Rattus norvegicus: one gene and its partners. The main gene of each other region encodes a partner of the protein of the gene in region 3 in a complex. Links are inferred from orthologs where the notes say so. Each region holds a gene or a part of one and is shown on either strand. Other genes may lie near its edges.

Region 1 (7,648 bases), on a different chromosome or scaffold from region 3:
CTTTCCCTGGAACTTCTACCTCTCACAGGCTGTCCTGCATGGTCCACACCTTTCTCTAGGTCCCAGAATACTCAGGGAAACCAGATTTCCCAGGGTGATAAACGATACGATACCCGGGACACAAAAGTATGGAACAGATAACCCATGGCTCTCTTTTAGACCAGAATCCCCAGCAAACAATAGACAGCTGAGCAGCAGTAGCTGTAAACTCCTCATGGGACACGCCCCATTACACACACATGCATACACACACGCACAGACACACACACACACAGACACACACAGACACACACAGACACACACACACACACACACACACACACACACACACACACACACACACACACACAGTGCTTCTCAATGTAAGAGCAGTACCCAACAGGACTCCTAGACTTCTCAGACAACTTTACTATAGAACAACTGTAGGCCACTGGCCTAGGCTTGCCAGCCAGAACCATCCTGCAGTCAGCTGGACTGGCACCAAGGAGATAGAAGTTTGCCTTGGCAGGAAAACTGGATATGGAGGATCTGGGGTATGGCCCCCGGCTCTGAACAAAGTACACCTCACATCATAACTCTCCCAACCTTCTGGGAATTACGGTCCTGAGAGCAGACCCTGCTTGACCACACCACCTTGTCAGGATCTAGAGGAACCTAGGTCTCTTCTGTAGAGTCTCTGCCAATAGAGGGCAGCCACCAGACAAACAGCTTAGACATGCCTTGCTCTTGAAAAAGCTAACCCTTCTGCTATTAGGTTGTGGCTGACTGATAAGGCAGAGATATTGGCTGGGACTAAAAGACTGAGGAGACCTTCCATTGGAGCTAGCAAGAGTCTAAGGATTCGCCTCACTGCCAGACCACACTGCAGTTCAAACCCCCTTCCTGCCTAAGTGCCCACCTCGCATGGCCATGGTGACACTGTCAAGACTTATCCATCTTGCTTGTCCCTTCCTCCCAGGAGAACACTGCACCACCACAATAATCCCTTATCAAAAGTTTCCCCAGGCTTCCAAAACCCATGTACTGGTCAAGGTCATCCACGACCCAGCTCCTTTTCTATCTTTGCCATTCAACCGCCAACATCCAACTCCGGCACATTCTACTACCGTATCCAAATTATGAGCAGGGTGACTGATGTGTCCACAAATACTTCCTTACCCCTTGTTTACCTAGTGCTAAGCATAAAGTCCTATCTGGGTTCAGAATGTGCCATTTGCCTACTTGCCACACAAACTGCCCTGCCCCCCAAGGCAGTTCTTCTGCCAAGGGTCATCAAGTTCATCATGAGACACGAGCTCCCTTTGGGAGCTATTCCCATGCCTCCATGTGTGCTCCAGGCAGGCAGGCCCTAATGGCGTCCCAATGCCCTTCCTATGTGCTATTCTTCAACTCAATTGACCCTGCAGGTTTATACATCTATGGAAGCAATAACAAGAAACGAGAAAGGCAGGGCTGAGCGAGTCTTCCGTGGACACTACTGAGCCACCTCGATTTACTGACAGTGGCCTTATAGCCTGCAGAGGGTGAGATGGGAGTAGCAGGAGCTGGGACTGGATGCTGGGTCTCTCACACATGGGTCCAAACCTGCCCAGCCAGCATTAACTTAGCAAACTACAGGAGTCACTGGGAAGCTGAGGGCTCAGTGAGATGGGCTTTCGGGAGTGTGATGGAGGGGACTCTTTGGTCTCTCCAGTCTAAACACCCTCTACAGAGCAGGGGGGGGAGGGGCACTGATATATTAGGAGGGTTCAACCAGGGGACACAGCCTGCTCTACATCACTGTAGGCCATTTCATTTCTGAACACTCAGCAGCCTCTCTTAGGACTAGGAAGGCTGGAGGGTGGGGTGTACAGGGGGTACAAGATCATCACTGAGGAAGTATACAGGGGGTACAGTCAGTCAGTAGGGGACACTTACCTCAAAAATTAGGAGAATGCGGGCATCACGTAGCATGCGCTCATAAGGGTAGTCCTTCATGTAGCCTGAGCCCCCAAGGATCTGCAGAGCCTCGCTCACACACTGCCAGGCAGCCTCAGAGCTAAACACCTGCCACAGACCCAGACAAGGTTAATCCCTGGTGGGAGCACTCCACAACCTAGTCACTCCCTCCTAAGAGCAAGACCTAAGCTATGGGGAGCAGCTGCCTGGGATGCAGTTGGAGGATGTGTGGAGAACCTGACCTCGGAACTTTCCAGGCAAGCACAGGCAGGACAGACGACACCAGCCTGTGTGCTCTATCCTAACATGACTTGCATGCCTCTCATGCCAACGCCTGGCTGTTATTCACTCAGACTTCCCCTCTTAGGAAGTATGCCCACTCTTGCCATTCTCATGTGTCTGCCATCTTGCTCTCATGACCACTGTCTACTGAGCATCCTACGATAATGACACTTGGATCTAGGGCTAGCCTGTGGACATGGGAATGAAATGGGTCTCACCCAGCACACAGCTGCCCCTCTTCCTAAGCTTAAGCTGGACCCTCATGGATTCACCACTGCCCATCTCTACAGGATGCCACTTCTTCCAGCATTTCTCTTAAGAGTTCTAGAGGTTACTTTAAAGTGGGGTTGTCATCTGTATTACAGCTTTAAAAAAAAACCCTTGCTTAGCCCCACCTCCCCGCCCATTCCCATAGGTCAGCCACCAATTCCTAGAAACAATTTCTACTTGGGACCCTCAGTGGCCACTCAGGACTCGGACTCAGTGGCTCTTAGCACCAGGCAACCTACAGCCTAGAGATCCTGTCCTGAGATCCAGAGAGGGCAACAGAAACTAAGGCACAGAACACCTACCCAACAAAGGCAAGGCCAGATAGATGGCGACACCTACAATACCCCCAGGCGTAACTACAGATTCGATACGCCAGAGCAAACACGCAAACATTAACAACCGAAACATGTCTCCAGCAGAGCCCAGGGCCCTTACGGAAGTAGACCTGAGAAATTCTAATATAGCAGAAGCATAAGACAAGGACTCTAAGGATGACACAAACAAGCCCATTAATGAAGTCATGAAAACAAACAGTGGGATAAAGGTTGAAAACAGCTCAGGACATGGAAGTAGAATCACTAAAGGAAACCCAAAGTGAAGTAAAACCAGAAATGAGTAACTCAGGAAGTCAGTCAAAAACCTCAGAGTAAGCCCTGCCAACAGAGGACCAGACATGGAGGCCAGACTCTCAGGTGTCGAAGGCAAGGTAGAAGACAAGGATAATGTTAAAGTCAAAGAAAATGTTAATTCTAAAAATCCAGGCACCGTGAAAAGATGAGATAGAGAGAGGAAGGAGAAGAAACCCAAGTCTAAGATACAGAAGATATTTTCAACAAAACAAAAGAGAACTTTGCCAACCTCAAAAAAGGACCCCAAACAGAAGCAGCAGGGAATGGATAAGTACACACACACTGCTGTTTATTTTATAGACATTTTACTTTTTGTCCTGACTATGCTTTGCTATTATAAAACTGTGCAGCAGGAGACATGTGCTATGTTCGGTACCCTGAGCTGGTTATTACAACTCCTGCAGCTTCCACAACAGTTCCAAGCGGTGCTTTTATTCCCCTACTTCATCAGTAGCCTGGAGACTAAGAGATCAAGTGGCCGGGTCTAGGTGACACGGTTAGGAGCGGGCAACTGCAGAGTGACCCAGGCTCCAGAGCTTACTGCTGCTGCTCTGATGTGATGGCCGACCAGCGTGTGCTCCTTGCAGGTCTGCCCTGACCTCAACATGTTAGCAGCACCCATATCCTGGGCTCCGTCTAGGTTTACGCGGCCCAAAATGACTGATGTCTGTGGCCTCAGAGATATAGCTTTCTACAGCCAGCACCTCCAGACTGTGTAATACCCAGCTACTTAGTACAGCCCTACTTACCACAGCCCTGCTCAGGGCTCAGGGATGAATGCAGAAGAAAGGGTACAAGAGCCAGAGGTGGTGCATGACGTGGAGGAAACAGTTTCCAGTCACAAAAGAACTGACACACACACACATAAACTCCCAGAGACTATGACATGGGACAAATTCCAGCACGGAGAAAGGGAAGTGGACACCCCTACACAAGAAGTAGTTGATTGCTGCTGGGAAGGGAAAATCATTTTCTTTAATGGAATGACTCTGGGCATACTACCCACACTCCAGGGCAAGCCTGATCCAACTGACAGTAATGACCCAGAGAACAGGTCTGGCAAAAAGGTGGCTGTGCTGGAGAAGGAAGAGCAGGAAACAGCTAACACCAGAGGTGAAGGTAACTGCTGAATGCTGTGGGTCACTTGTTTAACCTGCAGGCATCCATGTGAGACACCAGCACTATTATCTTCCCTTGTTATAGCTCACAGGTAAACCTAGGAGAATCAGTGCAGCAAAGCACTGGCCATCTTGAGAAGGGACGGTCTGAGGAAGCCCGGGACAGGGATATAAACTTGGGACTATTCTGGACTCAAAGGTTGTTTTAGAACATTTCCTATGTGCGATGTTCCTAGAACATTAAGATAGAGCAGCAAAAAGGAAACTCAGGACATGGCCTAAAAGTCAACACAGTTCTTTTACAGACCAAAGAGACCAGAATCTAGCAGCCAATTTTCTAAAAGAAAATTCTGACCAAGAAGAAAGACCATTTACTCTGGGGGAAAAAATGGCATTCCTTTGCAGGAGAGCCCAGATAATTCACATGGATATGAAGTTTTGATGTCTGTGTTTTCTCCTGTGGCTACTTAGTAGGAACAATCAAAAAGAAAAGAAAATGGACACAATCCATATAGGCAAGCAGTGAGCTATCCTGTAGACTCACACTCAAGTGAGTGCCACTCTGAATCCCTTCTCCCAGCTTCACCCTAGGGCCCTGCTGGCCCAGAAAGCTGCACAGGTGCAAATCACAAGATCAAGGGCCATCAACTAACAAAAGGAAGGTGGCTGACAAGCCAAGAGTAGCAGCACAAAGGATGATCTCCCTGCACGCTCTAGTTGCTGGGATTACCTTCACCATGGCTGCCTCGATAGAGCAGTCGGGAAATCCCGGTTGGTCCAGCATCCCTGAAGTGAGGTAAGCCATACTCTCCATTACATACGCCTTCTGAGCCATGAGCGCAAACTTTTCCTGAAATGTTTAGAAGAATAAAATCAAGAAACGATTTACACATGCATAGACTTAAATAAGTCTCCTAACCTCTCTTCTGAAAAAGCCAATTATATCAGAGCCTAGCTGTCCCAGCATCAATAATGCCTGGTGCACTTGTCTTCCCATTCCCCTGCCCACAGGCACGGTACAGAGACAGCAACTGAAAGCCTCTCCCACCTGCAGCAAACCAAAGTCTACAGTACCTGAATCAGCCCAAATTCACTGAGATTCCTATTGAACTGTTTCCTCGTACAGGCATACTCAGCAGTCTGTTCTAAAGAAGAACAGAGTTGTCAAAACAAATAAAACTGGCTTTTGGTTACTGGAAAACTATTTCTAAGGGCAACATGATGACTCTTCAGCACTCAAAAGGAACTGTGAGGGTTCTGTCTTTGAAAACAGAAGCCCTAAGCCAGAGTTCCCACTTTCAAAGCTGGTTGGAGATGGAATTCTCAGGCCTCATGGGTCCACAGGCAGCAGGCAAAAAGGTTAAGAACACAGAATGCTGAGTCAGTTGTGAGGGTGTGGAAGGAAACACTGCCTCCCTCACAGTACCCACCTCTCAGGAATGCTGGGAAGGTAAAGGGGGTGGATGGCTGGAGGCATGTAGCACAAATCAGGGTGCACATGGCATCCAAGTAAGCCATGGGAGTGGGCTCACAGAGTACTACAGTACGGGGAGTGACTCCGCATCAAAGCTCTGCTGGGGCCTCACACCGTGCATGGCTGTTGACAGTGCTGGGTTCTACTTGCCGGGAGGGACATCCAGCTGTCTACTCTCATCCTTAGCTCTGCCTGCAAATGTTTTCCAAATCCTTCCTCTGGTGTGGTCCAGCTGTTGCTGGTCCCCATCTGCTCCGATGCCCATGTCTCTAGATGGCGAGGAGCCTCACTGATGAGAGCCACAGGCATGTTCAAAGGAGCCTGACCCTAGCAGGCAGGTTTACCTTCAGGTCACGATGCACAGGCTTGTGTAACCCCCACTCTCTTTGGACCTTATTTTCTCTACTAATCAAATAGAGAGAAGAACCCAAATGCGTGCCTACATTGTTGTAAGCTCCAACAGGCGTGGATTCACAGGGCTGGTTATTCCAGCACTTCAGACCTACAGCTATGTCCAAGGAGCCCTGTGGCTCTAGTGGGATCAGAGCTAATGTTTTCTTTCACTCATGGAACAAAGTTCACTAAACAGTCATATTTGTCATGGACAAAGCAGCAACCCTTTATGCTCTGACAGATGCCTGACTAGTGTTGAAAATATACACAGCCTCTGGGGAAGGAGTACATTTGGTCTACATCAAGGGTCAGGTGCTAACTTGAGCTGTCTGTCCAAGTGGTGAAGCTCGCTCAGACTTGCCCACCCAGTGGGAGTGGCGCAGACAGTCTCAGGTGCAGCAGAGGGCTCCTGCTCCTGACTTCCCTACTGTGATTGGTCTTTGGTGTCAACCTGAATGGCTTTAGAATCACAAGTCTCTATACTAGGAGACACCTCTTGGCATGTTTGTGAGGGGGTTTTCAGAGATGTTTAACTGAGGAGGGAAGAGCCACCCTGAATATGGAGCCCATCAGCTGAGGCTCCAAACCAAATAAAAGAGGAGAAAGCCGTGGGAGACCAACACCCATTCTTTCTGCTTCCTGACTTCACACACAACGTGACCACCTTCCTCATATCCTAGCAGCCACAGCCAGAGATGCTTTCTAGCTGCACCTTGCCAAGATAGTCTATGCATTCAAACTGGGAGCAAAATCAACCTCCCTTTCTAAAGTTTTGTAGAGAATTTTGTCACAGCAGTGACACATACCAATCAGTTTCTTGAGCATCCCGGCCACAGCACTGCCCATGCTGAATCGTCCACTGTTGAGGATGTTCATGGCCACCTGTAGGGAGAGTGGAAAAGGTGGAGAGACACTGAAGGAGGCTGAGGGGGCCAGCCATACCAGTTTTCATGAAAGCAAAAGCAAGTGTGTACATATTCCACGCCAGCATGCAGACCGAGTTAATCCCCTGCCAGTTTTCAGGCCAGAAGTAAGCAGTTCTAACTCTTGACTTGGGTGGCTTCGGTACTGTTGTGCATTTCCATCAGCATCACTGGCCTCTGACTGCAAGTCATTGCCCACACTCTAAATGCACCCGTCAGCCGGCAGTCCTCGCGCAGGTGCAAGAACAGAAACGCAACTGGGCTGAGTGCTGTGAGCAGCGAGAACGCTGCGGTGGACTGCAGGAACGGCATGCATGCTGTGCAGACAAAGCAGCTGAGCTTCAGCGTGGGGTCATGGCTTTCTCCAGACTCCAGCCAGCACACACGTGGCAGGCAAACACAGAGGTGGCCCTAGTGACTGCTGCCAGCTACATACTATCTGGCTTTGCCAGCCCCCCCTTTCCTCGCCCTGCATTCTGACCCACTATAGTCAACAGCTGGGAGCCACACAGGCTGCGCTACCTCATCCAGTCTCAGGGGTTCTCCTCACCACCAGAGAGTCCAACTGAAGAACCTGAGGGAAGCCTCAGGCTTAATTTTACAAATGGACAGCATCCAAGT
Region 2 (8,286 bases), on a different chromosome or scaffold from region 3:
AAATAAGTAGCTTAACACCTGAAAGACAAACTGAGGTGAAAGAAAAAGAATTACGGAGAGTATTTGAGAGGTGGGGACAGCTATGGATTCCAGGAGGCATCAAACAGGCCTGTGTGCCATTAGACCAATAACTGTAAGTATCTATGTAGGTGTTTCTGGACGTTTCTGTCCCAGAGAGAGTTAAGTAGCTGTGACAGACACTATGTGGCCTGTAAGCCTCAGCATACCCTCTGGGGTATAGCTTAGTAGGAGATGCTCACCTAGCTTGTCTAAGGGGATGGGCTCCATCTCCACAACCAGCAAATAAAGGTGTGTGCGTCTGCCGTGTACAGAAGAGCATGCCAATCACTGCACTATGGTAATGAATACTAGTGAAATGACACTGATCTGATCATGAAGGACAGCATCTTTGACCTTCATGCTGAGACACAAGTGAGTGGAGTAACAGGAGGATCCTGGTTTAAAGTCACTTGGCAAGAGGAAACATGAAGTGACAGGGACAGGGGTTCTCTGGTCACGATTTTTGTCAATGATCTCTCTGTGAGATTTTTCAGGATGCCAGAGTTGGAAAATGATTCATGGAGGTTTATGTCCTTTTGTTCCCTAAAGCTTATCTCAAGTTTTACCCTTTACGGAAGAAAGCACCCAGGAAGACAGACTTCTATACAAACAAGGAAATGTGCAAACCTCTGAGTCCATGCTAATCACATGGGATCCACAGAGGTCATATCCCGTTACAACAATCACAGTGAAAGGTGACTTGTTCTTCCTCTTCTAGACTGCACTGTGATTAGTGATGTTTGACGATGCACACGGATGGAGGGAGGGAAGGCTGATGATACATAGATCTGTTGCTGGAGTATTTTAATTGCAGTACCCAGCATATAGGAGACTTCACTTCTAAGTTAGTTTTCTTTTATTGCTGCAATTGACCGTGATCACTGCAAGCATATCGTTCCAAATGCTGAAAGCACATTCTGGTCACCAGGCTCTTCTTTGCTATCCAGGGACACAGAGGCAGTTTCCCTGTAGCTTATCTAGTACCTGGAGTGGCCTCCGTCCTGGCACTGGAAAAGGGAATGACAATTAGGACACTGAACAGTGCCCTGAAGTTCAGGACCTTGAACCACAGCTGCTGTAGGAGCGGAGGCGTCAGGGCTTTACTAGTTTCAATTTCCTTATGTTAGAATGGTGGTAGCTGGGTAGTATATGCCTTTATTCCCAGCATCTGAGAGGCAGAGGCAGGTGGATCTCCATGAGTTCGAGGCCAGCCTGGTCTTCAGAAATAATCCAAGGACAGGCAGGGCTACACTAAGAAACCCTGTCTTGAAAAACCAAAACCTACCCAAAGAAACAAACCAAACCTCTATGGTTCCTGGGCCAACTGAAGAGCAGTTTCTATAATAATTTTATTTTTATTATGTGTATGCATGTATGTGTGCCACAATGTACAAGGGGAGGTCAGAAGACAGCTTGTTGGAGGTGGTTCTCTCTTTCCATCATGTGGACTCCAGGAATTGAACTCAGGTCCTAAGGCTTAGGGGTGACCACATCTCAATGGCCTCTGTAATCAAGTTTTATTAGAACATAGTCACTCTTTATATATGGTCAATGGCTGCTTTTGCACTAAAGTTGAGTAGTTACTGCAGGCCATATGCAAAGACAAAAGTACTTAATATATGACCCTTGACAAAATACGAATTCTGATTCCCGGCTCTAGACTACTATTGGCTTTTAAGTTCTGAAGGTTTGTCTCAAACACTTTATATAGCCTAGGCTAGCCCTGAACTTTCAAATCTCCCTGAAGGGATTAAAACCCTATGCCACCTGCCCATGTAGCTACTGGCTTGACTCACCAGTGTGTGTTGGGCAATGAAGCTAAGTCAGGAAGGGCTCTGGAGAACTGGTAGTGGAATGTCATCACTGGACAGATCACACTGGCTCAGAAAAGTAGAATGAGGGACAGAAGAGGGTGGGTTGTGGTTCAACTACAACTAAGGATGCATTTAAAAGCTTTCTGAAAACCTACTACTTGGTAAAGTATGTATACATACAAATGTCTTCTACAGGACATGAATTATTTAAAAAACAACAACAAAGAACAAAAACGTTGGTTCCAGGTGTGGGGGGATATTGTTGACCAGAGAGAACTAGGACCCCAAAATAACACGGGCTATTGAAATTGCTCTTGGTCGCCCACCCTAACTAAATGGTAAATCCATATTGCTGGAGACACTGCACACTTCAGTTTCAAGACACAGAGACATCAGGCTGGAACTGGCATGTTTAGCTTTCATAGTGCTGGAAGGTGCTATGTAAAGCACGGTGGAAGGAAAGTCATTTGGGGCATTTCCCAGCCATGGGTCCTGCGAGACAGCACTGACTTGCTGGGCAATGTGTACTGGCTTGTGCAATGGTGGAATGACTGTTTTGGGGGTAGCAAAATCACTTCCTGGTTGAATATAAGGCCGATTCCACAGGAAGGAATTAATGCCTCGTACAGTACTTGGTCAAAAGTCTATGACTGTGGAGCTCATAGGCACTGTGGGGAAACCTATGGTTGTTGTTTTGTTAAATGGAAATCTTGTCAAATTGCCTTCTAAATATCTATGTTTATACCCATAATTAATGCTGCTCTCAACCCTGGTAAGAAAAGTTTCTCTTTGTAGTGGGCAGTGGTTAATGCAGACTCATACCTGGTCAAAGTGCTAAGAATAAGTAGTACCCTTTATCAACCCTGCCAAGGCTCGGGGGCAGAAAGAATGTATGAGTTAGAGGATGGAGAGAAGTGTGGTAAACGAAATGCTGTCTTCTGGACATTATGAATTCAGCAACCATGGTTCCCTGTACAAGATCAAGCCAGTTAACATTTCAGCATGGGTGATATGTTGCCTATCACTTGATGGATGGCTGTGTGTGTGTGTGTGTGTGGTGTGTGTGTGTGTGTGTGTGTAGCACTAACTGGACTTAGAGAGGTATTAAAATAAAAATTTTAAAAAGGACATGAAAACAGAAGAGGGTGTGTGGGTCAGTGTTCTCCATAGGGAGCACAGGAAGGTTGGGGGGGGGGTGAATACAATCGGATACACTGTACACATGTAATTGCAAAGGAATAAAAAAATTAAAAAAAAGATAGACTGACATATCTAAGGTTACACACACTACAGGGGCTTCTGGGACACAGTCCACGAAATCTAAAAGGGGTGGGGCAGAGGTGGCGACACCCAAGCTATTTGAGCCTACTCTCATTTGTATGATTTCTGTTCAATCATGCATTTGTGCATAGGAGGCAGAGAGAATGCCATCACCAGAACGAACCCACACAAACTTATCTTTGGCTATAACAAGTTCGGTTAGCGGAAGGAAGTCCCACCGGACTTTCTAATTAGTCTCTGTGATCCTCACCTAAGCATCACATTTAAAGGGGCTTCAAGGACTCCGCGAAAGACATTTGCTCAAGGTCAGACAGCTGAAAACCTGCCCTTGATATACTAGAAGAGACAGTCAGAGGTGACAGGGCTGGGGAGGTGACACAGCAGGTCAGAGGGTGGAGGCTGGAGTTCAATCCAGGACACCAGACCCGAGGAACCCTAGAAGAAATTCGGACCCGAACTTTTCGACTCTGAACACGTTTCCTACTCGGAAGGCTTTTCTGGCCCCCTCTTCCTGCGCATCCCACTCAGGACCCCGCTCAGGACCTAGGTCTACTGGTTCCCGGACAGTCCTTACGGCGGTCTGGGGCAGCAAGGGCTCTGCCCCACCACCAGGAGCTCCCCGGGCGCCGCCTACCTGCCGCGGGGCAGTCAAGGTCCCATCCATGTCAAAGAGACAGAGCGTGGCCATTTCTCCAGTCAGAAGACTCGTTGGCACCCGGAACTCCACCCGGAACTTCCGGGTCCGCTCCGAGCCCCGGAACTCCAAGGCACGATGGGAAGATTCTCTAATGGCTTACGGGACACTCGGGGCGGATACAAAATTTGAACTACAGTTCCCAAGCCGTAGTACTTTTTTTTTTTTTCCTTGAGTTAGCGCATTAACCTCCCGCGCATGAGCCCTTCAAGTTTCCGGGGACAAGGTCGGCGTACTTCCTGTAGCAGGCGACAGGCTCATGGTAGGAATGTCAGGTGGTGGGCGGTAAAGGAGGGACCGCACTTAGCGACCGGGTCCGGCCTACGACTGGCAGGAAGGATACCTGGGCTGCCCACTCGGGAAATCAGTCGGTGGAAGGCCAGAGTGTATTTTTACGTGCTATTTCTCTGCCTTGTTTCTTTCCCTTGGGTCACATGGACGGTCTTCATCGTCCCAGTGCGCACACCAAGTTCAGCGCTTAAGAACCATGTCTCGGGGTTGGGATTTAGCTCAATGGTAGAGCGCTTGCCTAGCAAGCTCAAGGCCCTGGGTTCGGTCCCCAGCTCCGAAAAAAAGAGAGAGAGAGAGAAAAAAAAAAAAGAACCATGTCTCCCTAGCGTATTCTGAGGTTTTCTTTGGAAAGATGAAGGATGCACAGTTAGTGTCCTCTTACTCTGAAGCCCAGAATTTGCTCACTCTTCTACTTATTCCAGACAGTCATTGTGCAGTGTGTTGAGGGCCTCCGTGCCTCACTTCTCTGCTTCCCAACCAGGCTAATTCATGCGAAGAAATTCTCTTGGCGTGTAAGGCAGTCAGAGGACTGCAAAGGTTCTGTGATAAGTACCCCATGGTTTTGTTGTGTGGGTTTCCGACACCGATTGATTTACCCTTTGAGGAAGGAAGGAAGTTTTAAGTGCACTGTTGGCCCATCTCTGTTGAATGGCTGGACGTACAGGTTTTCTATGTTTATTTGGACCTGCTCGGGGGAAAGGACCTGTCTGAGTGTCAGAGACTGCTTTTGTTTCCTTGCACTTGGGGCCAGGGCCAGGGGTGGGGAGGGCCTAGGGTTTTTTTGGTGTTGTTGGTTTTTTTGTTTTGTTTTGTTTTTTAATGCTTTTTTAAAATTTGTTTTAATCGTGTGTGTGTTTAGTTCGTGTGCATTTACTTGTGCTATGGCATGTAGGGGTCCAGGATGTCCTGCTTGAGTAATTTCTCTTCCTCCACCATGTTGGCTTCAGGGATCAAATTCACCCGGTTTGGTAGCAAGCCCCAGTTCTAGATGGGCTATCTCACTGGCTAGGATTAGGGTTTTGTTTTGTTTGCTTGCTTATTTAGTTGTAAAAAATGGGAGAATGGTACTTATCTAGAGTAGAATTCCACAAAAAATAAAGCTTCTGGCTTTATCACTTACTTTCCTCTGGCAGTCACGGTGTCTTGCCAGGGTTGGTTGAAGCCTTTCTGGGAGATGCTTTGCCTTGTTCATTGTGTGATTAGCCTGGATGATTTCTGAAAGGAACCTCTCTCTTCCAGGCTTTCCTCCTTCGAGCTGTGCCAAGGCTGCAGGGGCCCGCTGCATGGAGGAGGCCTCTACAGCAACTGTGGTGCCGTGCTGGGCAGGGGGATTCCATAAGGTGGGTGGGGAGCAGGTCTCCCCCCTCACAGGAGAAGCCACCAGGCACAGAGACTGAAAAATTCCACACAATCTACCGCTTCAATGCCATCAGAGCACTTGGGTTCCTGTCTCGGCTGAAGTTGGCACAGACAGCTGTGACTGTGGTGGCCCTGCCCCCAGGCTTCTACTGCTACTCACAAGGCCTCATGACCCTCAGCTCACTGGGCCTTATGAGTGGGATTGCCAGCTTTGCCCTGGTCATGCTGTGCTGGATGAGCCACTTCTTCCGGAGACTGGTAGGCATCCTCTATGTGAATGAGTCAGGTACCTTGCTTCGAGTGGCCCACCTGACCTTCTGGGGCTGGCGACAGGACACATACTGTGCCGTGTCAGACATGATACCCCTGTCAGAATCCGAGGAACGGGTCCAGGATGTGTTCGTGCGTATCCAGCAGTACAGTGGCAAGCAGACCTTCTACCTCACCCTACGCTATGGCCGAATCCTGGACAGGGATCGTTTCTCACAAGTATTCGGAACCCTGGCCACACTCAAGAACAGCAAGTAGGCCGTTGTAGCCCTGGTCAAGAACATGGATGAGACAAAAGCTAATACCAGGGACTGGGCTGATGCTCACTTTGTAGACTGCTTGCCTAGCATGTAGGACTTCACATCCTGGGTTCAGTCCCTAGTACTGCATAGAACCAGCCATGACTGTGCCTGCCTGTACTCAATACTGGTGACATAGGCAGGTGGAGAAGTTCAAGGTTGCCTTGGGCCAAAAAGGAAGGCATTAACCAGCTTTAGGAAAAAGCCCTTAGTGGAACATTATACTATATAGGACATCCTGTCAGATAGTGGCCAGAAGTCTCTATGAAGAGGCAGTTCCTAGAGGAGCACTATGCCAAGATCGCCGAGGCAGCCCGCTGCTGTGAAGCTGCAAGGTGGGAGGGTTGGCAGAGGAGCATAGGATGTGGAGCCTGGGGACTTGGGTTCTGCTGAGCCTTAGTTCCTTGACCTGGGACAGGGTATTGAGTTCCTGAACCTTGAATTGCACTCTGAGATGGAAGACCCTTCCTCTCATGAGGACGGATATGAAAATAATAATGGCTGTGGCTGTGGCTTTGTGACAGAGCTCTTGCCTAGCATGTGTAAAGTCCTAAGTTCCATACCAGCACCATGAACAGGCAAAACCAGTGTGTAAGGTAAGCAGCCAGAAGTTACAACGTAGAGCAAGGCTTCCAGGCTGCCACTGGGGTCCATCACTGGTCCTCAGGCTCACCAGCTGAATGGCCACAGCTAAAGCCCAGAGTGGACTTGTTTCTCCCGTCAGGAAGTCACTGTACACCAACTGAGGTAGGAGCAGCATCCCCTGAGACTACGTGATCACCAGGAGATCTGGGGTGCTCACACTCAGCTTTGCAGGGTCATTGGGGCAGAGGGACTCTGTCCAGGCAATAATTCTTCATCTGAGGGACACTGTGTGCTGCTTTTCACAATGAATAACAAGCACATGCTTATTAGGTGATTGTACCTGGATTAAAGGAAAGCAGCCCTGGTCTTTGTAATTTGTCCATCAGAATGCTTTGTTTTGTAACTGTTTAATAATTTCCTTCCCTTAAGAAATTTTCTTTTGGGGTGGAGAGATGGCTCAGAGGTTGAGAACACTGATTGCTCTTTCAGAGGTCCTGAGTTCAATTCCCAGCAACCACATGGTGGCTCACAACCATCTGTAATGGGATCTGGTATGCTCTTCTGACATGCAGAAATATATGCAGAACACTGTGTATATAATAAATCTTTAAAAAGAATTTTTCTTTTAATTATTTGTGTGTGTATACTGTGCACATAGGAGATTGGAGGACAGCCTTTTCCAAGTCAATTTCCTTTTATCATTTGGGTCTCAGGGATTAAATTCAGGCTTGGCAGCAAGTACCTTCACCCACTGAACCATCTTGCTGGTCCTCTATAAAATAAGCAGAGCATGAACACGGATAACTATTAATAGAAGTGTGTGTGTTGGGTTGGGGATTTAGCTCAGTGGGAGAGTGCTTGCCTAGCAAGCGCAAGGCCCTGGGTTCGCTCCCCAGCTCTGAAAAAAAGAAAAAAGAAGAAAAAAAAAAGTGTGTGTGTTGAGGGGTCCACCACAAGGCCTCAACCAGGCAGGGGTAGTCTTCCTCAGACGAGGGCATACCAGTTAGCTATCCAGTATGAAATGGGTGGCCCTGAAAACATGCAGGTACAGAGTGAGCGAGTTATATTTAGAAGCATATGCACATACACACAGCAATATTTAAGGAAAGAAGAGGCCATGAATTTGAAAGGGCAAAGGAGGATATAGGGAGTTTTGGAGGGAGGAAAGGGAAGGGGAAATATGCGTAATTATATTGTAATTTCAAAAAGCCCCTTAAATGTGCATATCGAATCATAACTTGTCATTGTCCGGGCACGCAGCGCAGCCTTGTGTTGGCAGCCATGGCCGCTGGCTAATTCCAGTACTTCATTACCTCAGGTAGGACGCAGGCACTTGGCCACCGCTGCCCCTGCCTCTGTCTTCTCCCCACCGCCACCTGTTGGCAGGCGGCAGCCAATCTGTCTCTGGATTCGTTATTCTGACATCCATGGAGGGAATCATGGTTTGTTTCCTAGCGTTAACTTGGTGTTGTTCAGAGCTTAATTCACGAGTCAGTGAAGTGTTCGTGGATTTGTTCATGACTGGACTCTTGGGGTGTTCTTGAATGTGAATGTATGTGTTTACCAGCAGCAGGTCAGTGGACATCATGGGTTATTTTCACCCCTCGCTATGTGAGTAACACTGATGTGAACG
Region 3 (7,201 bases):
TGTAACTGATAGAGCAAAATAAGCATGGGTTCTTCTCTGTCCTCTGGGGTAAAGTGTTGTAAGACCCCAAAGTGGCCCTACCTCAGGGCACAACCCACAGATCACAAATAGACAAGGAGACCACTGCAATGGCAAGAGGTTTAATCCACATATGTGGGGTTGCTTATTCACACAGAGAGAGGCAACCCCGAACCCAAAAAGCACACAACTTTTATTCTTTATAGAGGGCAGACTTCAGCAACAGGGTTAGTTGGCTTATTCTCATTGGTGGTACACAGGAGAAAGGATCTGGTCAGGTATTGTTCAAGGGGCTGTTCTTGGCTCAGTTAGACACTTTCGTCATCCAGCCCTTCACCTGGCCTTGGAGAATCACTGGGAAAGGGCTAAGTTGGCAAGTCCCCCCAGAAGGGAGGAGGAACTGGGTGGTCAGGCAGGGTCAGGATGACATCTTGTGGTTGTTCTCAGGATTTACCACAGGGAGGGGTAGGGGGGGTCTTTTTGAGAACAGTTGTTTTGTTTTGGCTAGTTTCCATTAAGCCTGGTCACTCTGACCACCAAGACCTTGCTCCTGTATTCCCAAAACTTCTTTCTTACAGCTTTGTTTCTCATATCTATGAAACTTTATTTCTTCAAAAACATTTTATACAGTTGTTGAAATGTTTGTCAAGATCCAGAGAAAAATTATTAAGACCAATTGCTCTGCAACTTTGTAAGTGACTAAAATTCAACCACTTGTGTTGGTAACTGGAAGCACATAGGAGCTAATACAAAAAGAGCCCAGAAAGGGGGAATAAAATCCCTGAAAATTATTTGGGAACGTGGACCCTTTCAGATGGACCAGTAAAAAAACAAACTGTAAGCTGGACACATTTTGGCAGAGCCAGGTGAGTGGACTCTGCAGCCACTCTTGTAGTACTGAGCCAGGTGTGTTCAAGGCTGGCCTTCCTGTGTGATCTGACCAGAATTCAGAGCCCTCTAGCTCTGCAGCCCCTTCTGCTGCCCATCTCCAGCCCAGTGGGGAGGGGAGTCTAGTGACAGCTTGAGTTGGGCATAGGCACTGCTACATGAGCCTGGAGCTTGGCTACTTCCACAATTTGGTTTCGGTTTCTGTTTTTCCTCACAGTGGGAATGACCCACTATAAATTGAAGTAGCCCCTTTATGGAGAACATTTAAAACAGACTATACATTCCTACCTTTGAAGAGACAACCCTGTGTGTTTAACATTCTTGGTTATCTTAGTGTTTATTTGTGAGCACAAGGACTTCCATGCCTTCTCCATTTTTTTAAATTTAACTTTTTATTGATTCTTTGTGAATTTCATACCATACACTCCAATCCTACTCATCTCATTGTCCTTTTGTACACACCCTCTTCCCTTGCAACCTCCTGACAAAAGAAAAAGAATCTCGTTGTGGAGGCTGTAGTGTGTCCTGTAGTACACCCTTTGTCCACACTTCTTTACTTGCAAACGTTCATTACAATGAGTCCTGCATTCCAGCAGTTCACAGATGGGGCAGATGATGGCGTGGACCATCTGGGCCTGGTTGGTAGCTGAGTTGGGCAGTCTGCCAGCTTCCTTACACCCATACTATTCTCTTGAGCATTGCCCCAGCTAGCTCATGCAATGTTGCAAAGGGACAGAGTCAGTTCTCCTGCTCTTATGCCCTGGCTCATGCAATCCCAGCAACCAGGGCCAGCTCTACCTTACTTTCTGGGCTTCAAGGCCCATTCTCTTAAATGCTGCAGCTGGTGAAGTGTAGGGCCAGCATTCCTGCAATCACTCCTTCTGGGCCAGCTCTCCTAGGATGCTCAGGTGAGGGGTGGAGCCTGCACAGCCCTCAGGAATCAACATGGTCCCAGGCAGCAGCCTGGATCAGAGAAGTCCACTAGGTTTTGGTGGTAACAGACCCCCTGCTGCTGCAGTGCCTTGGACCCAGACATGGCCTTAGGTAGCAGTATTGGTCAGGACCTCACCATAGCCTTAGGTGGCATCACTGGCTTCTCACCTCAGGCTGTACCTCACTACCCTTAACTTTCCAGTTCTGCTTCTCTTTCTCTTCCATCTCTCCACCACTTACCTGCTCATCTTAGTGGCACCTGGGGCTCTGGGGTTATCTCAGGAGTGCTATGCCCTGCCCATGCTACAGTGTGACACCAGGCAGGGGACATGTTGGGAGTGGTCTGCCCACCTGGGCCCTGTGGCACTTCTAGATTTTCCCACATTTTCTTTTCTTATGACCTTCCAATTCCTCCTTTAACATTTAACTCATGTTACTTTCCCCTGAAACATCGTCTGCCTAAATAGTTAAGAGTTATAGTCTCTGTTCCCTCAAAGTATGTTTATCTCAGGCCATCTTATAATATGTGTTCATATTTCTTACTCCTCTTCTAAGAAGTCTTTCTTTAGGGATCATTTCTTATTATACACATTGTGTGTGACGCATACCAGATACTCACTGTATCTGCACAGGTCAGATCTGAGGCTCCAAACCCATTCCTATATAACATGAGGAAAGAAAGAAGAAACTTGTGTTTGTTTAACATTTATAACATTTATAATTACTGAGGATCTCATAATGCTAGGTGAAAGTAGCAGAGTTCCTTTTCACTTTTACACCAGTGCCAAAGACCTTTTATAAAGAGGTTCATTCTACTGAACTAGCCTCCACTGATTCTTGGGTTAATCATCAGGCACAATTCTTGCATATGCTTTTTCACATACAGCATAGTGATATAAGCCATTAAACACTCCAAATATTATCTGAAACAACAGAGGAACGGCCATTGCTTTCATCCCAGTTTGACAAAGGAGTAACCAATGGAGCATAACTCTTCCCTTTGGCGGCACTGGAACAGTGTGATACCTGAAAATGGAAAAGAGTCAGAGATGTCTCCGGGATCCCATAGCAAATGCTACTGATTTCTCCTAGTCATTTCCAGTATATGTTTATCATGTAGACAACAACATTAAATGCTAGTTACCTATTTTGTTTTGGTTAGCCCTTAGCTAAAGAAAAAATAGAGTTTATCAATACTACCCCATCAATAAAATTAAAAAAAAAAAAAAAAAAGGAAGGAAGGGATAAAAAGAGAAAGGGCAAAACCATCCAGGATCGAAAAATGGAAATAGGAACAAAAAAGAAATCACAAGGGAGACAAGTCTGAAGATAGGAAACCTAGGAAAAGAGAGCAGGAGTCATAGATGCAAGCATCACCAACAAAATACAAGAGATAGAAGAGAGAATCTCAAGGGCAGAGGATACCATAGAAAACATTGACATAAGTGTCAAAGAAAATGCAAAATGCAAAAAGCTCCTAACCCAAAACATCCAGGAAATCCAGGATAGAATGAGAAGATCAACCTAAGGATAATAGGTATAGAAGAGAATGAAGATTCCCAACTTCAAGGGCCAGTAAATAGCTTCAACAAAATTATAGAAGAAAATTTCTCTAACCTAAAGAAAGAGATGCCCATGAACATGAAGAAGCCTGCAGAACTCTAAATAGACTGGACTAGAAGAGAAATTCCTCCCATCACACAACAGTCAAAACACCAAATGCACAAAATAAAGAATTTTAAAAGCAGTAAGGGAAAAAGATCAAGTAATATATAAAGGCAGACCTATCCGAATTATACCAGAGTTCTCACCAAAGACTCTAAAAGCCAGAAGATCCTGAGCAGATGTCATACAGACCCTAGGAGAACACAAATGCCAGCCCAGGCTACTATACCCAGCAAATCTCTCAATTAACATAGATGGAGAAACCAAGATATTTCATGACAATCAAATTTATACAATATCTTTCCACAAATCCAGCCAGACAAAGGATAATAGGTGGAAAACTCCAACACAAGGAGGGGAAGTACACCCTAGAAAAAGCAAGAAAGTAATCTCCTTGCAACAAACCCAAAAGAAGAGGGCCACACAAACATAATCCCACCTCTAACAACAACAACAACAACAACAAAACAGAAAACAACACTCATTATTCCTTAATATCTCTTGATATCAATGGACTCAATTCTCCAATAAAAAGACATAGACTAACTGACTGGATACATAAACAGGACCCAGCATTTTGCTGCATAGAAGAAACATACCTCAGTGACAAAGGCAGACACTACCTTGGCGTACAAGGCTGGAAAACAATTTCCAAGCAAATGGTACCAAGAAACAAGCTGAAGTATGCATTCTAATATGAAATAAAGTTGACTTTCAACTAAAAGTTATCAGAAAAGATAAGGAAGGAAAAAGGAAAAGGAAAAATCTATTAAGATGAACTCTCAATTCTGACCATCTATGCTCCAAATGCAAGGGCACCCACATTCACAAAAGAAACTTTACTAAACTTCACTAAATCTCAAAGTACACATTGTACCTCACACAATAATAAAGGGAGACTTCAACACCTCACTCTCAGCAATGGACAGATCATGGAAAGAGAAACTAAAAAGAGACACAGTGAAACTAACAGAAGTTATGAACCAATTGGATTTAACAGATACCTATTGAACATTTCATCCTAGAACAAAGGATTATGCCACTTTCTCAGCACCTCTTGGTACCTTCTCAAAAATTGACCATATAATCAGCCACAAAACAGGCCTCAACAGATCCAAGATGACTGAAATAATCCCAGGCATCAGAACACCACTAAGGCTGGTTTTCAATAACAACAAAAACAACAGAAAGCCCGCACACATGGAAGCTTAACAAGACTCTACTCAATGACAACTTGGTAAAGAATGAAAGAAGAAAGAAATTAAAATACTTTTTAGACATTAAGGAAAATGAAGGCACAATATACCAAAACTTATGGGACACAAATGAAAGTGCTCAGTGCCTCCAAAAAGAAACTGGAGAGATCATACACTAGCAGCTTGACAGCATACCTGAAAGCTCTAGAACAAAAAGAAGCAAACACACCCAAGAGGAGTAGAGGCAGGAAATAGTCAAACTCAGAGCTGAAATCAACCAAGTAGAAACAAAAAGAGCTATACAAAGAAACAACAAAATTAGGAGCTGGTTCTTTGAGAAAAATCAATAAGATAGATAAACCCTTAGCCAGACTAACCAGAGGACACAGAGACATTATCCAAATTAACAAAATCAGAAATGAAAAGGGAGACATAACAGAAACTGAGGAAATGCAAAAAATCATCTAAAAAAGCCTATACTCAACAAATCTGGAAAATCTAAATGAAATGGACAATTTTCTAGACAGATACCAGGTACCAAGGTAAAATCAAAATCAGAGAAACCATCTAAACATCCCCATAACCCCTAAAGAATAGAAGTCTCCCAACCAAAAAAAGTCCAGGACCAGATGGGTTTAGTGCAGAATTCTATCAGATCTTCAAAGAAGACCTAATACCAATACTCTTCAAACTATTCCATAAAATAGAAACAGAGGGAACAGTATCCAATTTGTTCTATATATCCACAGGAACTCTGATACCTAAAGTACACAAAGACCCAACAAATAGAACTGCAGACCAATCTCGCTTATGGATATTGATCCAAAAATACTCAATCAAATTCTCAAAAACTGAATCTAAGAACACATCAAAACCATCATTCACCATGATCAAGTAGGCTTCATCTCAGGGATGCAGAGATGGTTCAGAATATGAAAATCCATCAACATAATACACTATATAAACAAACTCAAGAAAAAAAAAAAGGCATGATCATATTAGACGCTGAGAAAGCACTTGACAAAATTCAACACCCCTTCATGATAAAAGTCTTGGAAAGATCAGGAATTCAAGGCCTATACCTAAACATAGTAAAAGCAATACACAGAAAAACCAGTAGCTGACACCAAATTAAATGGACAGAAATTTGAAGCAATCCCACTAAAATCAGGGACTAGAGAAGGCTGCCCATTTTCTCCCTACCTATTCAATATAGTGCTTAAAGTTCTAGCCAGAGCAACTAGACAACAAAAGGAGATCAAAGGGATACAAATTGAAGAGAAAGAAGTCAAAATATCTATATTTGTAGATGATATGGTAGGATATTCAAATGACCCCCAAAATTCCACCAGAGAACTCCTACAGCAGATGAACAACTTCAGCAAATAATATAAACTATTTACAATAGTCGCAAATAATATAAAATGCCTTGGTGTGACTCTAACCAAGCAAGTGAAAGATCTGTAAGACAAGAACTTCAAGTCTCTGAAGAAAGACATCATAGATCTCAGGAAATGGAAAGATCTCCCATGCTCATGGATTAGCAGGATTAATTTAGTAAAAATGGCCATCTTGCCGAAAGCAATCTACACTGAGTTAGAAAGAGCAATTTGCCAATTCATTTGGAATAACAAAACACCCAAAATAACAAAAACTATCCTCAATAATAAAAGAACTTCTGGGGGAATCACCATCCCTGACCTCAAGCTGTATTACAGAGCATTCGTGAGAAAAACTGCATGATATTGGTACAGAGACAGGCAGGTAGATCAATGGAATAGAATTGAAGACTCAGAAATGAACCCACACAGCTATGGTCACTTGATCTTTGACAAAGGAGCTAAAATCATTCAGTGAAAAAAAGCATTTTCAACAAATGGTGCTAGTTCAACTGTTGGTCAGCATGTAGAAGAATGCAAATCGATCCATTCTTTTCTTTTTTAAAGATTTATTTATTATATATAAGTACACTGTAGCTGTCTTCAGACACAACATAAGAGGGTATTGGATCCCAATACACATGGTTGTGAGTCATCATGTGGTTGCTGAGATTTGAACTCAGCACCTCTGGAAGAGCAGTCATGCTCTTAACCACTGAGCCATCTTTCCAGCCCAAATCAATCCATTCTTAGCTCCTTGTACAAAGCTCAAGTCCAAGTGGATAAAGGACCTCCACAAAACCAGATATACTGGAACTAATAGAAGAGAAAGTGGGGAAGGGTCTTGAACACATGGGCACAGGGGAAGTTTCCTGAACTGAACACCAATGGCTTAAGCTCTAAGATGAATAATTGACAAGTGGGACCTCATAAAATTGCAAAGCTGTAAGGCAAAGGCCACTGTCAATAGGACAAAATGTCAAGAAACAGACTGGGAAAAGATCTTTACTGATCCTACATCCGATAGAGGGCTAATATCCAATATATACAAAGAACTCAAGAGGTTAGACTCTAGAGAACCAAATAACACTATTAAAAATGGGGTACAGAGCTAAACAAAGA
Region 4 (8,338 bases), on a different chromosome or scaffold from region 3:
GAATAGGGCTTTGGATCTTCTGGAACTGGAGTTTCAGATGGTTGTGAGCTACCACGTAGGTGCTGGGAATTGAACTCAGGTCCTTAGGCTTGGCAGCAAGCACTTTTACCCAAAGAGCCATCTCACCAGTCCCCTCTTTTTACTTTAGGTACTTGAGATAGAACTCAGGTGGCCAGGCTCCTGCAGGAAGTACTTAACTCTCTGCACTGTCTCCATGGCCGCTCTGTTCTTTCTCTTGCCTGAGTGCTACTACTGGCAGCTCAACACTGACAGCACTGAGAAGTGGCCAGAGTACACAGCCTTGTCTGGCTCCTAAACTCTGGCAAAAGAATCTATTCTTTCACTGGGCATAGTGAGCACCTTGTCTCAGTCCAGAGAACCCATTCTCGTGAAAGAGGTCCCATGTATTTTGCAAAAGAGTTTGCTATTCTGCCTGTTCTTCCCTGGGCCCTTGTCCTGAACACTGCTACTGCTCTCAGCCACTCTTGTGGAAAGGTGCTTTGCTAGAGATGTGCATTCCAAGGGAGTTTCGATGCAGCTGTGCCTGAAGCTCTGTTGTAATAATTGTTACATGGAAACCTATCCCCAAAGTTTTACTGTATTTAAAGGTGTTAGAAATAAGTCACTTGGCATTAGACTCCAGAAGTTTGGAACCAGTACCAGCTAAGTTCTGCTGACCCAACTTTCATTCTTAACTTCATCTGGACCGCTCCCTGCTGGCCGTGACACTTGCAGGGACCACAATAGCCAGCCTGTTCTACACAGTGAGATGTCATTTCAGACAAATGAAAAGAGTAACTGTTGGATTTTCTCAAATACTTTTCTGTATTGCCTGAAATAATGATGTGATTTTAGGGTTTTGTTCTATTAATATATACATAAATTTTCAGATGTTAAACTAACCTTGCAGGGCTGGAGAGATGGCTTAGTGGTTAAGAGCACTGACTGCTCTTCCAGAGGTCCTGAGTTCAATTCCCAGCAACCACATGGTGGCTTACGACCATCTGTAAAGAGATCCGATGCCCTCTTCTGGTGTATCTGAAGACAGCTACAGTGTACTTATATATAATAAATGAATAAATCTTTTAAAAAAAAAATGGGTTGAGGATTTAGCTCAGTGGTAGAGCGCTTGCCTAGCAAGCACAAGGTCCTGGGTTTGGTCCTCAGCTTTGGAAAAAGAAAAAAAAGACAAAAACAAATAATCTAACCTTGTATTTTGAAGATAAATTCTCTTAGGCAAGATGTAGAATTCTTTTTGCATGCTCGCAAGCCCACTGCAAGCGAATTTTACAGTTGTGTTCATGAGGCACTAGTCTGTAGTTTCCTTAGTATACCTGTTTGCTTTTGTATCAGGGTAGCTAGGCCACAGAGAACATGTTAGGAAGAGGTTGGATCATTCTTGCCACCACTAAGACTTTCTGGAGGTGGGTGTTGTGCATACGCCTGTAAATCCCAGTGCTGAGGTGGAAGGTGGGATCAGCCTTGGATACACAGCAAGTATGAAGCCAGCCTGGGCTACAGGAAAACTTGTCTCAAAATCAGGAAAAGAAAACCAAGAAAACCAAACCAAACAACAACAAAACTCCTTTTGGGGTGACAAGATGGCTTTGCAGACAAAGGCAGTTGCTGCTAGTCTGACAACCAGAATTCCATCCCCGAAATCCAGAGTGGAAGGAAAGAACTGACCCCACAAGTTGTCCTGACTTCCGCTCCTCCAGTGGATGAACACACACACACACACACACACACACACACACACACACACACACTCTCTCTCTCTCTCTCTCTCTCTCTCTCTCTCTCTCTCTCTCTCTCTCTCTAAGTAAAAACAAACAAACAACCTTCTCTAGTTGAGCCAGACACAGTAATGCACACCTTTAATCCTAGCATTCAGGAGTAAAGGCAGCCAGACTCCTGTGAGCTCCAAGCCAGCTCAGGCTACATATGAGAACCTATTTAAGGAGAAAAAAAATCCAACTCTTTTTCCAGTATCTCCCATCTTGGCCCCAAATCTCCCTCCACTCCCTGCTTTCTTTATCCTTAGAGCTTCCCCTAAGCCATGATTACACACTGGTTCCTCCTCCTCAGCAGCCTGACGGCTGCCCTAGTCCTGTCAGTAATGCCCGCCCAATGCACCGCTGTGCTCAACACTTTGAAGGCAATGACTTTGAGGTGTCAACTTCCAAGTATCAGACAGTGACGTCCCCTCCCTTATAGTCCTTGCTAACATCCTTGGGTTTCTCCCTGGCACCCGTGCCTACTTCTCAGCCAATCATGAGATGCCTTTCAATGTCAGCATTATCTGCAACACTGCCAAGGGTGCAGACAAATGCCCTGGGAGCACAAAACCTGTAGATTCAGGCTTAGTGGAAACATGACCATACTTCTGACAACTTTTATCAACAGCTGCTGGCCTAGGAAATGTAACTAGACTGGACTCAGGCTGGGACTCTATAGACCTGGCCTAGACTCCTCCAGGGAGCTGCTGGGCCCAGTGAGCCTCTGCTAGATTCCCCTAGTGAGTGGCTGGAACTGAGACTCAGTGTTATCTAGAATCCCCCACGGAAAGGCTGATGGTGTGGCTCAAGGTAGGTACTTGCTTGGTATAGTTGGATAAAAAGACTCTAAAACCTTGCAAATTGTGTTCCAGGACCTGTAGAATGTTGGCTGTAACTCAGGTCTACTGCATGAGAATCTGCATTGTAACACCCATAGGTGGCTCCTCATGCATTAGAGTTGTTAGTGTTTATGCTCATGGTTCCCTAATGTTTTTGCCTCCATACCTAAGTATAACTTTGGTACAAACCAGCCATGCCAAACTCCATCCAGGGAACACTGACAACACCTTTGCTGACTGTGCTTCTCTGGAGGCCAGCCAGTAGCACCACCCTTCCTGGTTATTCAGGCCCCAATGTAAGAATTGCTCAGCAGTCACTATGTCCCTATTCAGTCAATAGATAGTCCTGGAGACTACTTCCAAACCTATCCCCTTGCAGGCCACCATACCATTCCACAGTGATTTCCTGCATACCTTTCTGCCTTCTCTCTGCCCTGCTAGTTACTTCCCTCCATTGCAAAAGGAAGCTCTTAACAACAGAAACCAGTTGTGCTGGAAAGATGGATCCATTGGTAAACTGTTTGCCCTGAAAGAATGAGGACCTGAGCTCCAGCACCCATTACAAAGCCAGGTGAGGTGCCATGCACTTGCAATCTGAGGAATCTGAGAAAGCAGAAGCAGGCAGGCCCCTGAGCTCCCTGCAACAGAGCCCTGAACTCCCTGTAACAGAGCCCTGAGCTCCCTGCAGCAGGCCCCAAAGCACAAGGTGGACAGCTCCTGAAGAACAACATCTTAGGTTGACATTTTTCCTCCATACATGTGCTTACATGTGTACATGCACTAACATACATCCCTGTACCCACACAGGAACACACAAGAATGCTGGGTGTGATAGCACATACCTGTAATCCCAGCATTTGGGAGACACAGGCTGGCGGATCTGAGTTTGAGGTGAAACCAATCTATACAGACAGCAAGTTCCAGACCAACCAGGGCTACATAGTGGGACCCTGTCTTTAAAAAGAAAATGTGCTTGAGATAGGTGTTGTGTGTGTAAAGCCAGCACTGGGGAGTGTGAGGCAGGAGGATGGCCTCCAGAATCAAAACAGCTGGAGATCGTTAGTGAGCTCCATGGCAGTCTGAGCTACAGAAAGGTCCTGTCTAAACTTTAAACAAGAGCAGGGAGAGAGAATTCAGCTGGGAAAGGAACTTGCTGTCAAAACAAAGCAAACCTAATGACCTGAGCTCAAACCCTGGAACCAACCTAAGGTGTATGGATAAAACCTCAGAGCTGCCCTCTGACCTGCACCATGCACCATGGCACATGTGTCCCACCCCCCACACCATAACCAAAATAAAACTTCAAAGTAAATACACATCGGATGGCTTCTACCTGCTGTACTCCCCCTTTCTCTTGTAGCACCAGCTACACTGTTTCTGAAACAAGACAAGTTTATTGGTTTCCCAGGCTTTGAACTTGTTTTACCCTCTGCCTACTGTTTACTGTTTTGGTGTATGCCTATAATCCAGAACTCGGGGGCTGAAGCAGGAGGACGATCATGATGGGTTCGAGGCCAGCTTGGGACACATAAAGACTCTTGAATCAGGGAAAAACACACTGCTTGCAACAATCACTGTTTTGAAATCACGAGATTACCTGTTCTGTGTGTGTGTGATTTGCTCAATAATTGGCTCTCCTAGATAGTACTTTTTTAAAAAATCTGTTTTTCTCATTGTTGTGTCTCCACCAACTGGGTCAGTGCTTGGCACACTGTAAATGCCCAACACCGATCAACTGAGTGTGAATAAGCAGAAAGTTTCTACAAGACATGGATAAATCGGAACAGCGAGGTAGCGTGTATGTATGCGTGTGGGCTGGCACGATTTTGAGTCTCTGAGGCTGGAAGGTTCCAATGCCTGCCTCACAGACAATGTACGTTGCCCGAGTCCGCTATCCCATCTGTGAAACGAACGCCTGCAGCAAGAGGTGCCCAGCAACCTTTCCTTGCTCATTCCCAAGCCTGCACCTGAAAAGGTCACAGTGCCCTGACTGAGGTCGAGTTGAAGGTCATATTCCCCGGCTCTACCAGGCTTGGAAGTGGACGCCCCAATCCCAGACGGTCCCATAGCCCTCCCACGCGCGACCCACCTACTCACGCGGCCACCCGCACACCCGAGCAGGCTAGCTGGGACCGCTGGGCGCCGTCATGTTGAGCCACACAGCTTCCGGTTACGAGTCGAAGGTGACAGCAAATCAGAAAAACCTGTGACGATAGGTCCCGCCCTCAAGTGGAGATCCACCAATAGGAAGGCGGAAGACACTGGTTTCTCCTCAGGAGCAGGCCCTGCTGCTCACCGAACTCTAGAAGCCTTGGGTACCGGTGCGGAGGCGCTGGATCGGGTTCCCCTACGTCTGTCCGGTCCAGTTTTCTCCGCCGTGATGGTAAATTATTGTTACGGACTGGAAGCACCACATCCGGTTCGGAGCCCATGGCCTCTTGCGTGCTAAGCAAGCACTCTACCGCTGTCTGCTAAGCCACAGCCTAAGTCCCGGGATTTATTCTTATTCTTTTTACTAAACGGGTTTTTTTAGTTTGGTTGGTCCAGTTGTTTGAGTCAGGGTCTTGCAGTGGTACTCAGCCTGGCCTCAAAACCCTGGATTCAAGAGATCCTCAGGGATCAGCCCCCTGAATAGCTGGAACTTCAGGTGGGCAACACTGCCAACAGCTTTAACAGAATGTCAAGTTATGTTTATTTTCATTGTGTGTTATGTGTGTAAGTAAATCTGTGTGAGCACGTTCGTGTGGAAGTCAGGACAACTTAGGGGGAATGTTCTTTCCATGTGGGTACTGGGGATGAAACCTGGGTCATCAGGCTTGGCTATGAGCACTTTTACCGCCCCTAAGTAACAATTTTTGAAGTTTGAATTCATCTATGTGAAATGGCCATATAAGTACAACAAGGGCTACTGTGAGAAAGGACATGCATTCCTGACACCCCTCTCTCCCTCCCCAACTGGGAGTCTAGATTGACTCTTCAGACCACCCACACTGAGAGCTTAGAGGCCTATGGAGTGTATGTGTAGATGATTGGATGGCCCTGGATTTGTTGTATGTGTGTATAGATAATAGCGATTACATATAGATATATTATTCATATGCATACACAGACGCATACACATATACATATATTGATTGAATATAGGCTTTTTTTTAACATTGTTTTATTTTGCGGGTGGTGCATGTGGCGATAATTTGCTATAATCTATCCTGGGAGTCCCAGGGATTGAACTCAGCCATCAGACTTGACAGCACTTTACCAAGCTAACCTGCCAACCTCATAAGTAATCATTTTTAAGACAAGGTCTTGTGCAGCCTGGACTAGCTTTGAACTTCTGTGTAGCTGAATTTGACTTATCTGATCTTCCTGTCTCTTTTGTCCTGGGATTACAGGCCTATGCCACCACACATTGTCTCTGTAGTGCTGGGGTACAGTCCAGAGCCTCTGACATTGTAGGCAGTTACTCTACCAACTGAGGTATAGCCCCAGTCCTTTTGTTTTGCTTAGACAGGGTCCTGCTGTGTTGCTTGGCCTGGCTAGCCAGGAACTCTTTATGCAGACCAGTTTAGCCTTTGTTTACAGCTCCAGTTGGCAGTGTAAACCTGGGAGAGTGGAGCCTCATTTTGAGGCTGACTAAAGTCTCCTTCAATAGCCACCATTAATTCAGAGCTTCAGGCAAGTTATACTCTGAGGGTTAAGAGGCATCGCATGGGTGAGGTGTTCAATTATAAGGCCATGCGTAGTAAAAACATGTCTTCCCTAGAGGCACATGAATAACAAGGGCTGTAATAAATGCACTGCCATTCACTACACCTGGGCAGAAGCACAAGAACAATTCTGTGTCTTGAAGAAATGGAGGTCACAGGAGTCATATCTTCTTTCCTTACGAGCACTCAGAACCCTCACAAAAACTCCATTCTTGGACTATGTTCTAGCAGGCCTTGAACTCGAAGAGATCTGCAGATATAAGACATGCTACTGCAGAGAGGGCTGCTCTAGACCCGACCACACATAAGCATCCCATGCCACTGTGCTTGGCCACTAGATTAACTGTCTCTAGGATGTTAGCTACTTTTAGGATTTTAGGATACCTATTATTATGTAGCCCAGGTTAGCCTCAAACTGTATCTGTAGCTAAGAAAAGAAAAGAGAAGGAAAGGAAAGTGAGCAAACCCAGCACATGCCGCCTGTCATCCTAGAACTCGAGAGATAGAGAGTCAACACTTCAGAGTCACTTGACATGGGGGAGCCTGGGCTAATAAGACCCTGACTCCAGAAGAAGGAACTTAACCCAGGGATGGAGTGAAGTGATGCCATTGAGGGGTGATCGCGAGACACGAAAGTCACCAGTTTTTGAGTACTGGTGTCCTCATATGAAGAGAAGAGGCAGAAGCAAGCACACCTCTTAGAGCTAAGGCCAGCCTGGTCTACCAGTCTTTTCCAATCCACCTAGAACTACATAATGAGAAACCCTGTCTCAAAAAGTGTGTGTGTCTCAAGGACCCAGAGGACATGTTCTCATTCTCCATCTCTTACCACGCAATGCTTTGTTTGCACTTACTGGGCACCTTGCCAGCAAGAAGGCATCAGTCAGTGTTGAGCCTTTAACCTCCAAAACATACATTAAACTGGATGAATCCTTTATAAGCCTACCCAGTCTTGGGCATTTCACTATAGTGGCATGAAGCAGAGTAAGACACCCAGACAAGGCAGAGGTAGATCTAGGGCCTTGATGTCTCTCTGTCAACCTTTTACTGCCTAGTTAAGGCTGTCCAGTGAGAGATGATGGGCATGCTACTGACCTTTCTATGACCTTTTGGACTATGGCTTCTGCCATTTACTGTACTGGTAGGGCATGCTAGCTGGGTGGGACCAGGGAGCCAGTTACACTGTTACGACTTTCTCTTTGCCTTTGATGGTTAATTTTTTTTCTTTTTTCTTTTTTTCGGAGCTGGGGACTGAACCCAGGGCCTTGCACTTGCTAGGCAAGCGCTCTACCACTGAGCTAAATCCCCAACCCCGATGGTTAATTTTTTAAAAGTTTTTTTTTCCAAGTGGGGCGGTTTAATGAGAGAAGAGTAGAAGAGCAGAAAGGCGGCCCGCCATGGGTACAGAAAGGGGGGCATGGCGAAGGGGGAAAGAGAAGCAAAGAACAAAGAGAAAGAGGGGGTAAGAGGTCTAAAAGTTTTTATTATTATTATTATTATTATTATTATTATTACTATTACTATTACTATTACTATTACTATTATTGACTATGAATCCTTGACTAGTCTGGAACTTGCTATGTAGACCAGACTGGCCTTGAACTCACTGAGATCCACCTACTGCCTCCCAAGTACTCGGATTAAAGGCCTGTGCTACCATGCCCAGACATTTTTATATTTTTATCTTTTTAAAGATTTATTTTATTTATATGAATACACTGTAGCTGTCTTCAGACACACCAGAAGAGGGATGGTTGTGAGCCACCATGTGGTTGCTGGGAATTGAACTAAGGACCTCTGGAAGAGCAGGTCAGTGGTCTTAACCACTGAGCCATCTCTCCAGTCCCCTATATTTTTATTTGTGTCTGTGTGTGTCTGTGTCTGTGTGTCTGTGTCTCTGTGTGTCTGCATATAGGTATGTGCATTGTGTGCAGTGCCTGTAAGAGCCAGAAGAGGGCGTGAGATCTGAAACTGGAGTTACAGGCAGTTGTGAGCTGCCTGCCACATGGGTGCT

The links.
Region 1: Tmem126b (region 3) and Acad9 share a complex: the UniProt entries of both Homo sapiens proteins name them as parts of the mitochondrial complex. The link is inferred for Rattus norvegicus from reciprocal best matches to the Homo sapiens genes TMEM126B and ACAD9.
Region 2: Tmem126b (region 3) and Tmem186 share a complex: the UniProt entries of both Homo sapiens proteins name them as parts of the mitochondrial complex. The link is inferred for Rattus norvegicus from reciprocal best matches to the Homo sapiens genes TMEM126B and TMEM186.
Region 4: Tmem126b (region 3) and Ecsit share a complex: the UniProt entries of both Homo sapiens proteins name them as parts of the mitochondrial complex. The link is inferred for Rattus norvegicus from reciprocal best matches to the Homo sapiens genes TMEM126B and ECSIT.

What each region holds. Positions count from the first base shown.
Region 1 is NC_086020.1:120,882,898-120,890,545, reverse strand, and holds part of Acad9 (complex I assembly factor ACAD9, mitochondrial), read right to left. Parts: intron 6,987-7,648; coding exon 6,911-6,986; intron 5,383-6,910; coding exon 5,312-5,382; intron 5,088-5,311; coding exon 4,968-5,087; intron 2,047-4,967; coding exon 1,918-2,046; intron 1-1,917. UniProt on the Homo sapiens protein: As part of the MCIA complex, primarily participates in the assembly of the mitochondrial complex I and therefore plays a role in oxidative phosphorylation.
Region 2 is NC_086028.1:7,485,648-7,493,933, forward strand, and holds Tmem186 (transmembrane protein 186), read left to right. Parts: upstream 1-3,951; 5' UTR 3,952-4,108; coding exon 4,109-4,111; intron 4,112-5,379; coding exon 5,380-6,027; 3' UTR 6,028-7,270; downstream 7,271-8,286. Other genes in the region: Pmm2 (phosphomannomutase 2), read right to left, coding at 3,790-3,843. UniProt on the Homo sapiens protein: As part of the MCIA complex, required for efficient assembly of the mitochondrial complex I.
Region 3 is NC_086019.1:153,849,548-153,856,748, forward strand, and holds the end of Tmem126b (complex I assembly factor TMEM126B, mitochondrial), read right to left. Parts: intron 2,866-7,201; coding exon 2,682-2,865; 3' UTR 2,534-2,681; downstream 1-2,533. UniProt on the Homo sapiens protein: As part of the MCIA complex, involved in the assembly of the mitochondrial complex I. Participates in constructing the membrane arm of complex I.
Region 4 is NC_086026.1:28,889,609-28,897,946, forward strand, and holds the start of Ecsit (evolutionarily conserved signaling intermediate in Toll pathway, mitochondrial precursor), read right to left. Parts: upstream 4,759-8,338; 5' UTR 4,707-4,758; intron 1,011-4,706; exon of another isoform or gene 904-1,010; intron 1-903.